Mus musculus: one gene and its partner. The protein of the gene in region 1 binds, or shares a complex with, the protein of each later gene. Links are inferred from orthologs where the notes say so. Each region holds a gene or a part of one and is shown on either strand. Other genes may lie near its edges.

Region 1 (3,646 bases):
CATGTCGGTGCTGGCAATTAAACCCAGATCCTCTTCAAGAACAGGAAAGATCTTAACCATTGAGACATTAATCCAACCATGCTCCCTGCACACTTTAACTTAAAAATATATATATATATACATACATATATGTTTATGTATATATGTATATATATGTTTATCTGTGTGTATATACATATCTTATATGTTTATAACAATATACATATATAACTTAAAATAAATGTGTGTAGGGTAGGAGCACTGGTAGGTCTTCCTGAGGATCCAAGTTCAAGTCCCAGAACCCACCTGGTTTCTTACAACTATAACTGCAGTGCCATTTTCTGGCCTCCAAGGATAGAAGACAGACACGATGCAAACAAATTTGCAGGCAAATATCCATAACCATACAATCAAAGAGTAAATGTTTAAAAAGTATGTGATCCATGAGTCTCTGTGCACTCAAACTCATGCATCGTCTGAAGGCAGAAGAGGACATGAGATCCCTAGGACTGGAGTTTCAGACAGTCATAAGCCATCATATGACACTGGGAAATTGAACCCAGTCCTCTCTCTGCGAGGGCAGTAAATGCTCCTTCTAACAGCCGAGCTGTCTCTCCCACATCTTGTCAATTTTCTTAAACAAAACTATGAACCTAGAAAAACAGCAATTCTGGCTCCAAGGAGGTGAGACTACTAGGCAGCGCCAAGTTTTACAGGCCAGCCAACCTCCCCTAACCTGAGAGCTCCAGGTCAACAGAGACCTTGTCTCAAAAAAAAAAAAAAAACCACACCAAAGTACACAGCTCCCAAGGAAAACTGTCAGCAGTTGGCCTCTGGCTTATACCTGCATGCACACACTCATAGAAAGAAACCTTCACACACATCAGGAAGCCCCTGCTTTCTGTCAGGTGCTACTCTAACTACTACTGTGCAGTTCACCACAGCGCTGCCGTCCTCAATGAATCAACACACCCCAGGGAAACACCTCCTATCTGCTCCCTGTGTACCAGGCTCCCTCCCATTCTCTTAGCCTGTTAAGTCACGTGTCCAAAGCATAGTTAAATCTGCCCAAAGTCCTAGATTCAGACCCTTACCTGTGACGCTGGCACTTTGACCACATGAGGTGGTGTCCCCGTCACTGGAACAGCCCCACTGGGAGGAAGGTTCTTACTCGTCACAGATGCCCAAGAAAACGTCTAGAGAAGAACAGGACATGTCAGAGCGACAAAGAGCCATTAACTTCTGCTCCGCATCACCTCTACATCACTCACAGACAGGAGTCTACAAGCATCTGCCACCTCACAAACTGCCTTAGAAGCAGCCCTGCCTATCATTACACCCGATAATCCAGATACTTAGGGGACCAAGATAAGCCAGCCTGGGCTAAATAGCTAGATCATCGTAAAAGTCAACTAAGTAATTATAACGAAGAAAAAAATTAAAAATAAACTAGCAGGGGGGGCTGCCTTTAAGCCCAGCACTTGAAAGGCAGAGGTAAGTGGATTTCTGGATTTCTGAGTTCAAGGCCAGCCTGGCCTACAGAGCAAGTTCCAGAACAGCCAAGGCTACACAGAGAAATCATGTCTCAAATAAATAAACTAGCAGAGAGTAAATATATGGCTCAGTTAGCAACAGCTTTTTTGCACAAACTCCTGGGCTTAGTCCTGAGTGCCTTATAAATCAGGCAAGGCAACACAGAAATATAATCCCAACAAATAGGAAATAGGAGCCAGAGAATCAAATCAGCCTCAGCTGTGTCTGGAGTTTGAGGCCAGCCTGGGGCATGCCTGGCACATACTCTCCCACCCACAACCTGGGGCTGACCTTTAGCATAGCAACAACAAACAGGTAATAAGACAGCAATACAGTGCTAAGCCACAACCCATACCCTCAAGTCCTCCTGTGCCGGGGCCACATCAGCCGGGGCCGGGGAAGTGCTCTTCTGCACATCGTCGGGAGCAGCTTCTTCCAATGCAGCCTCAGGCTTGTCCTCTTGAATGTCGGACACAGGTTCCGGCTCCGGCTCCGGCTCTGGCTCCGGTTCTGGTTCCACTACAGGCTCCTCTAAATGCTCCTCCAAGTCATTGCTGTCATGGAATGGAAAATTTGACCTGTCTCTGGGACTCACCCAGATACTCTGAGCCATCTAATGACTCCAGAGAGTCTCAGGACAAGAGGTTGATGGCTAAATTCTGATAAATATAATGATCAAAACAGAATCAAGTGGTTTTCAGTTAATGTTAATTAGCTTATTAATATATGTATCACAAAACCCTTGTATTGAATGGGCTAGAGAAAGATCAAACTCTCTGAGGCCTAGCACAGGCCCAGCAAGCCAAGTAAGGCAAGTCAGTCTCAAAATATAGTAAATGTCATCATCTGTGGCTTTAACCACACACAAGCCCCATAGAAATACACAAGGGGACTGGAGAAGTGGCTTAGTGGCTAAGATCTTTCTTTCTGGGGTCCTGACTGCCTATGTGATCCAATGCCCTTTTCTGATGTGCAGAAGCACATGCACACAGAACACCCACATACATATAACACGTAGATAAATCAATCTTTAACAAACTCCATGCACCAGGAGTTCTGGAAGAGAAGACATCAGTTATGACCAAGAACAGTGGTTATATTCCCATACCAGCTGCCAAGGAACGCTGTCCCTGGCCTTGTTCTCCCTCCTGATACCTGACCTCAGTAAGTAGGTCTTCCGTAAAACACATCTTCACTCTCAGCCTAGCATGAACAGGTTTGACCACACCTTGATAAACACTTGATTGAACACTGAGCACTGACATCTGGAACAATCGTGGCTCAGTGGCCTATCAGGAACATAAAAAACTAAGACAACATCACACTCATTATTTGAGGTCATGAGAAAATTTTAAACAAGGGTTTTTGTCATGTAGGCCAAAACTGTCCTCTTAAAAATAGTATTTTTATATGTCTACATGTTTTTAAGTGTATACATGTTTTTAAGAGTATACAGTGCACCAAAAACATGATTCCTGCAACTCGAGTTAAAGAAGTACTAAGGTACCATGTGAGTGGTGAGAACTAAACTCAAATCTTCTGCAAAAGCAGCCAGTGCCTATCACAGCTGAGCAGTCTCTCCAGCCCTCAGGACAGCCTGAAATTCACGGCACACACGTGGAGGGCAGAAAAGATCCTCAAGGTCAATTCTCTCTTTCTAACACGGGGTTCCAGGAACCTAACTCAGGTCATCCTATGCCACGCCGCTTCCTCTGAGCTGCAGGGCTGGACTATAAATTCATTATTACTCAGCTTATGGCTTCGACATTTTATTACTCTAGTTAAATGAACTCTTCTGATATATGTGTGCGTGCCTACAATCCCAGCATCTCGAACACTCAGACAGATGTTCCAGGCTTAGCCTCAGCTACATGGTGAGCACCTGTCTTCAAAACAATTAGCAACCTAAACCATACACATTCAACACTTTCCATAGTATCTCCTATAAAATAAGTAAAAGTTGCATATTGCTAGTTATTAAGAAATAACACAATTAAAATATTTTCCCAGAAAACTACCATAGTTTTGTTGCTGAGCCCATGCAGGCAACGTTCAAACTCACAGCAATCCCCTTGCCTCAGCCTCTGGAACACTGGAATTACAGGCATGTCTCCACATCTGACTTAGCTGGCAC
Region 2 (3,746 bases), on another chromosome or scaffold:
CACTAACATTGATACCTCAAATCATTAAAGCTCATGTCGGATCCTATTCTACAAGAAACTGAGTTCCCAGAAATTCCAAAAATTAAACCGTTTGGAGCAACAGCCTAACAACACTGCTTTATTGCATTAGGAAAATTTAAAGATACCCAAGTTAAACTCAATTTCACACAGGGTACCAAACACACGCAAGTATCAGAAAATGCTAGCAGGGTGTGGTGGCGCAAGCCTTTAGTCCCAGCACTTGGGAGGCAGAGGCAGGAGGATTTCTGAGTTAGAGGCGCCAGCCTGGTCTTCAGAGTGAGTTCCAGGACAGCCAGGGGTACACAGAGAAACCCTGTCTCAAAAAGAAAAAAAAGAAAAAAAAAGGAAATGCTGGCATGAAATTCCATATTTGAATGTAGCTTACAGTGCTTTCACTATTTTAATATTTCCTCTTTTCACTATTTAATAATTTAATACATTAAAATTTCTTATCAAAATAGCTAAAGTTTCATATCTTGTTCATGTATATTCACAATTTCAAATAAAGTCTGGGAAGTTTTAGTAATATGGCCACTCTTCAACACTGAAACAGAAAAAGTACAAAGGTGAATGTTTCAAACTCACTACTAAAAATGGGAAATCAGCAGATAAACCACAAGATTAAGATGTAAATAGCCTGGATTTTTCCAACTTACCTCCTACAGCTCAGATTTTTAGCCAATATCCTATCTCACTAATCTCCTCTAACTAGTTAAACAACTAACTAAACATCTTCATGGGAATTTTTCAAAATTTTAAAATATGCCCCGGCAGGCATAAGTTATCAAAAGTTACATTATACTTAATGTAAAAGGGCAAGTTAGAATAACAGTTCCAGGTAAATTGCCTCCATTTTCACTCTACCACCCCATGTTTGTCCCTTTCCACTACTTTTCTTAATCAGGGTAGAAATTTACTTCTACCCAGACTCTTCCTCTAAACTGTGTTGGTATACGGTCCTACACTAAACGCATAAAACAAAAAAGCCGGTTTAAGTAATCTAACAGTATGGTCCAGAATGGCTAAATATTAAAGCCAAAACAGTGTGGGTGTGGCTCGACTTTTTGGGAGGGGGGGCTAGGCGGGGCTGCTGCCTGGTCTCTGCCCTCCCCCTCTGCTTTCGCTTTGTGCTCACAATGCAGCTCCTGTACAGCGCTTCCCTCTCCCGCAGCCGCCGCCATGTTAGACACTCCATGTGCCCAGAGACCCAGAGGCAGTCTCCAGTCTAAACTAGATCCACCTCCGAAAGATCAAGGAAATCTCCCTGACCCTTTAGAATGCTGAAGCGGTAAAAAATAATAAATTAAAAAGAAAAGGTCATGGCAAAAAACAACAACAAAAAACACTCATTTAAAAACTACCTCGTGACTAGGCTGGGCGTGAGGTTCCAAGCACCCAGACAATCGAAACAAAGGGGGAAACGTAGGGAGCCCATCGGAAGGGGGCGGGGGTACCCAAGCAAAGGCCCGCTTAACTAGGACTTGACGGGACTGCAACCCTAGTTCAGGTCTAGACACATATCTTTTCTTGGGAAGAGAGCCATTCCACCAGCCCCCAGCCTAGGTACCAAAGGCAAACGCCACAGTTACAAGGCATGGACCGCTCAACTCCACGAGCAATCGGGCCGGGCACACTGTTTCTTCCCCTTGGCCTCCTTCAAAAGTCAGGCCTCAGTTTGGGAGCATACCCAGCAACGGGCCCACCACCCAAGCAACCGGTCACCAGGCGGAAAGGCCCCGCTCAGCCTGATGTGAGTAACCGAGGCCTAGAGGCAGCGCCGCGTTGGGGTCAGGTGACAGGCACCTCCCCGAGGCGCCCGTTTTCTGGGCAAGGAGCACCATCCACCGCCGGGACCGGTGTAGGGCTGGAGCCACGAGCCCTCCCTCTCCACTAACTCCTCGCACCTTTTTCTTCTCCAGGTTCCGAAGTTTCTTGTCGATTACGCCGAGAATCTGCTTCATGGCCTCGGTCTGGACGGCGCCGGTGCCGGTTGCCGGATGCTGAGAAGCCGGCGCAGCTGCCCCGGCCGCCGCCTCACTCCCGGAGGAACCGGACGGCGGCGGCGGTCCCGACGATTTGCTGCCGCTTCCGCTGTGGCTGGTGGCCGAGGGCATCTTTAGACCGAGAAGAGAGGAGAGGAAAAAAGCGGGAGGGAAGGACAAGACCAGCAAGTCAGGAGACGGACGGGGAGAGACGCGGGACAAAACGCGCAGCGGGCGGGCGGGCAGGCGGCTACGCGCGCGCGCGGTGGGGGGAGGGGGCGGCGCGCGCCGCCGGCAGGAAGGGGCCCACGGGCACGCGCGCGACCCGCCAGCGGGGCGCCGGGCCGCCCGCCCCTCCCCCCTCCCCGGGGCACCAAGCTCGCGCCGGGGGCGGGGCCTGGCACGGCCGCCGTCAACCGCCAGGGCAACGGTCCCCATCGGGGCAAGTGGCACCCGTTGCCTTGCGAGAACGAGAGGGACAAAGGTCAGGGCCAGGGGTGGAGAAGGGCACTTGGAGTGACCGGGTTGGGGGTGGGGGTGGGGAGGCCCTGAGCGAGCCCTCCCAGCCGCTCGGACCGCTCCGAAGGTAAAAAGGACACCCAGGTACAGCGGCCTTCTTCCCCTTCGGCGCCTTTGATCCGGGATGGCGCTCACCGTGCGCGCGCGGAGCCGCTGGACGTCTGGAGTGGGCAGCCGAGGGGGGCAAGGGTGGTGCTGCGTTGAGAACAGAGACGTGCGCTCCGTGGGCGCAGGCCGCTTCGCCCTGTCCCCGCGGCTCTGAGCTGCTCCTAGTGGGACAAGAGCCGGCGCGGGAGGGACTTAGCCAGCCAGCGCTCTGCAACGAGGGGGGGCGGGAGCAATAGGGAGCGAGGGCCTTCAAGCCGGTGAGGCTGCCCGACTGGAATGCCTGTCGAAAAAAGGTCACCGGACCGCGCCTCCCGTCGGGCCGTGTCCTCGGCGCCAGGTTCCTGTCCCTTTGCATATCTGGAAAGTACCCTCACGGAGACCGTTATCCCAGATCCTTGAGTTTTGAGTGAAACCTAAGCTGGGGTCCTTCAGGCGAAATCTCTTGACATCCTAACGGGGACAATGGGTGTCAAGCCTCAGGCTCTGGAGCTGAGGACTGCCCCTTGTAGAGCCCTTATTTGGTGGGAGTGGGGGTTGGAGGGGCAAAGGTTTCTGCAAGTAAGGGGTGCGTGGGGTGGGTGGTGCAATCCCAGCTTCTAGAATTCCTTCTGTATGGAGAGCATGCAAACTCACCCTAAAAGGTCTGAGAAAAGGCAACTTGCCACATAATAATTATACAATAACCTAGGCATGGAGAATGAACATCCTTCATGGCTTTTTGATCTCCTTAATTACCCCAGTCATGTTAAAAACCCGTCTTCTCCTACCCTGAGATAGATAAGTACGCCCTATCAGGAATTACTTATCTTTACCCGATTTGTTTAAGATTTTACCCAAAACTTTAAAGACTATGCAAGATGCCGGGAGGGGGTGCGAGGGGGGCACTTTTTTGTCCAGGAGAATTATTTGGGGGGCGGGGGGGTGGTCAAAGAGGGTGGATAACGAGTAAAAGGAAAAAATGAGTGATCTAGAGAAAGGTACTAAAAGGAATATGATCCGTGGAAAATTCAGCAACATGATGTATGAGAGCAGTAAATGACCAATTTATAATTTAAAATCCATGAAAAGGAAATTTAGAAGAGGGTTCTATCAAAGAATTAAAATGACTAACACTGG

Evidence for each region. Proteins that work in one complex are often made in the same cells at the same time.
Region 2: the proteins of G3bp1 (region 1) and Caprin1 are in contact, whole or in part, in a crystal structure (PDB 8TH7), measured with the Homo sapiens proteins. The link is inferred for Mus musculus from reciprocal best matches to the Homo sapiens genes G3BP1 and CAPRIN1. Residues at the interface, in NP_005745.1 of Homo sapiens: Glu4, Lys5, Pro6, Ser7, Leu10, Val11, Glu14, Phe15, Arg17, Gln18, Thr21, Leu22, Met29, His31, Arg32, Phe33, Tyr34, Gly35, Lys36, Gln58, Lys59, His62, Leu114, Glu117, Asn122, Lys123, Phe124, Tyr125; in NP_005889.3 of Homo sapiens: Met363, Gln365, Met366, Gln367, Gly368, Pro369, Tyr370, Asn371, Phe372, Ile373, Gln374, Asp375, Ser376, Met377, Leu378.

What each region holds. Positions count from the first base shown.
Region 1 is NC_000077.6:55,493,673-55,497,318, reverse strand, and holds part of G3bp1 (ras GTPase-activating protein-binding protein 1), read right to left. Parts: intron 2,067-3,646; coding exon 1,868-2,066; intron 1,176-1,867; coding exon 1,074-1,175; intron 1-1,073. UniProt on the Homo sapiens protein: Protein involved in various processes, such as stress granule formation and innate immunity. Plays an essential role in stress granule formation.
Region 2 is NC_000068.7:103,794,806-103,798,551, forward strand, and holds the start of Caprin1 (caprin-1), read right to left. Parts: upstream 2,836-3,746; 5' UTR 2,658-2,835; intron 2,274-2,657; exon of another isoform or gene 2,136-2,273; coding exon 1,926-2,135; intron 1-1,925. UniProt on the Homo sapiens protein: mRNA-binding protein that acts as a regulator of mRNAs transport, translation and/or stability, and which is involved in neurogenesis, synaptic plasticity in neurons and cell proliferation and migration in multiple cell types.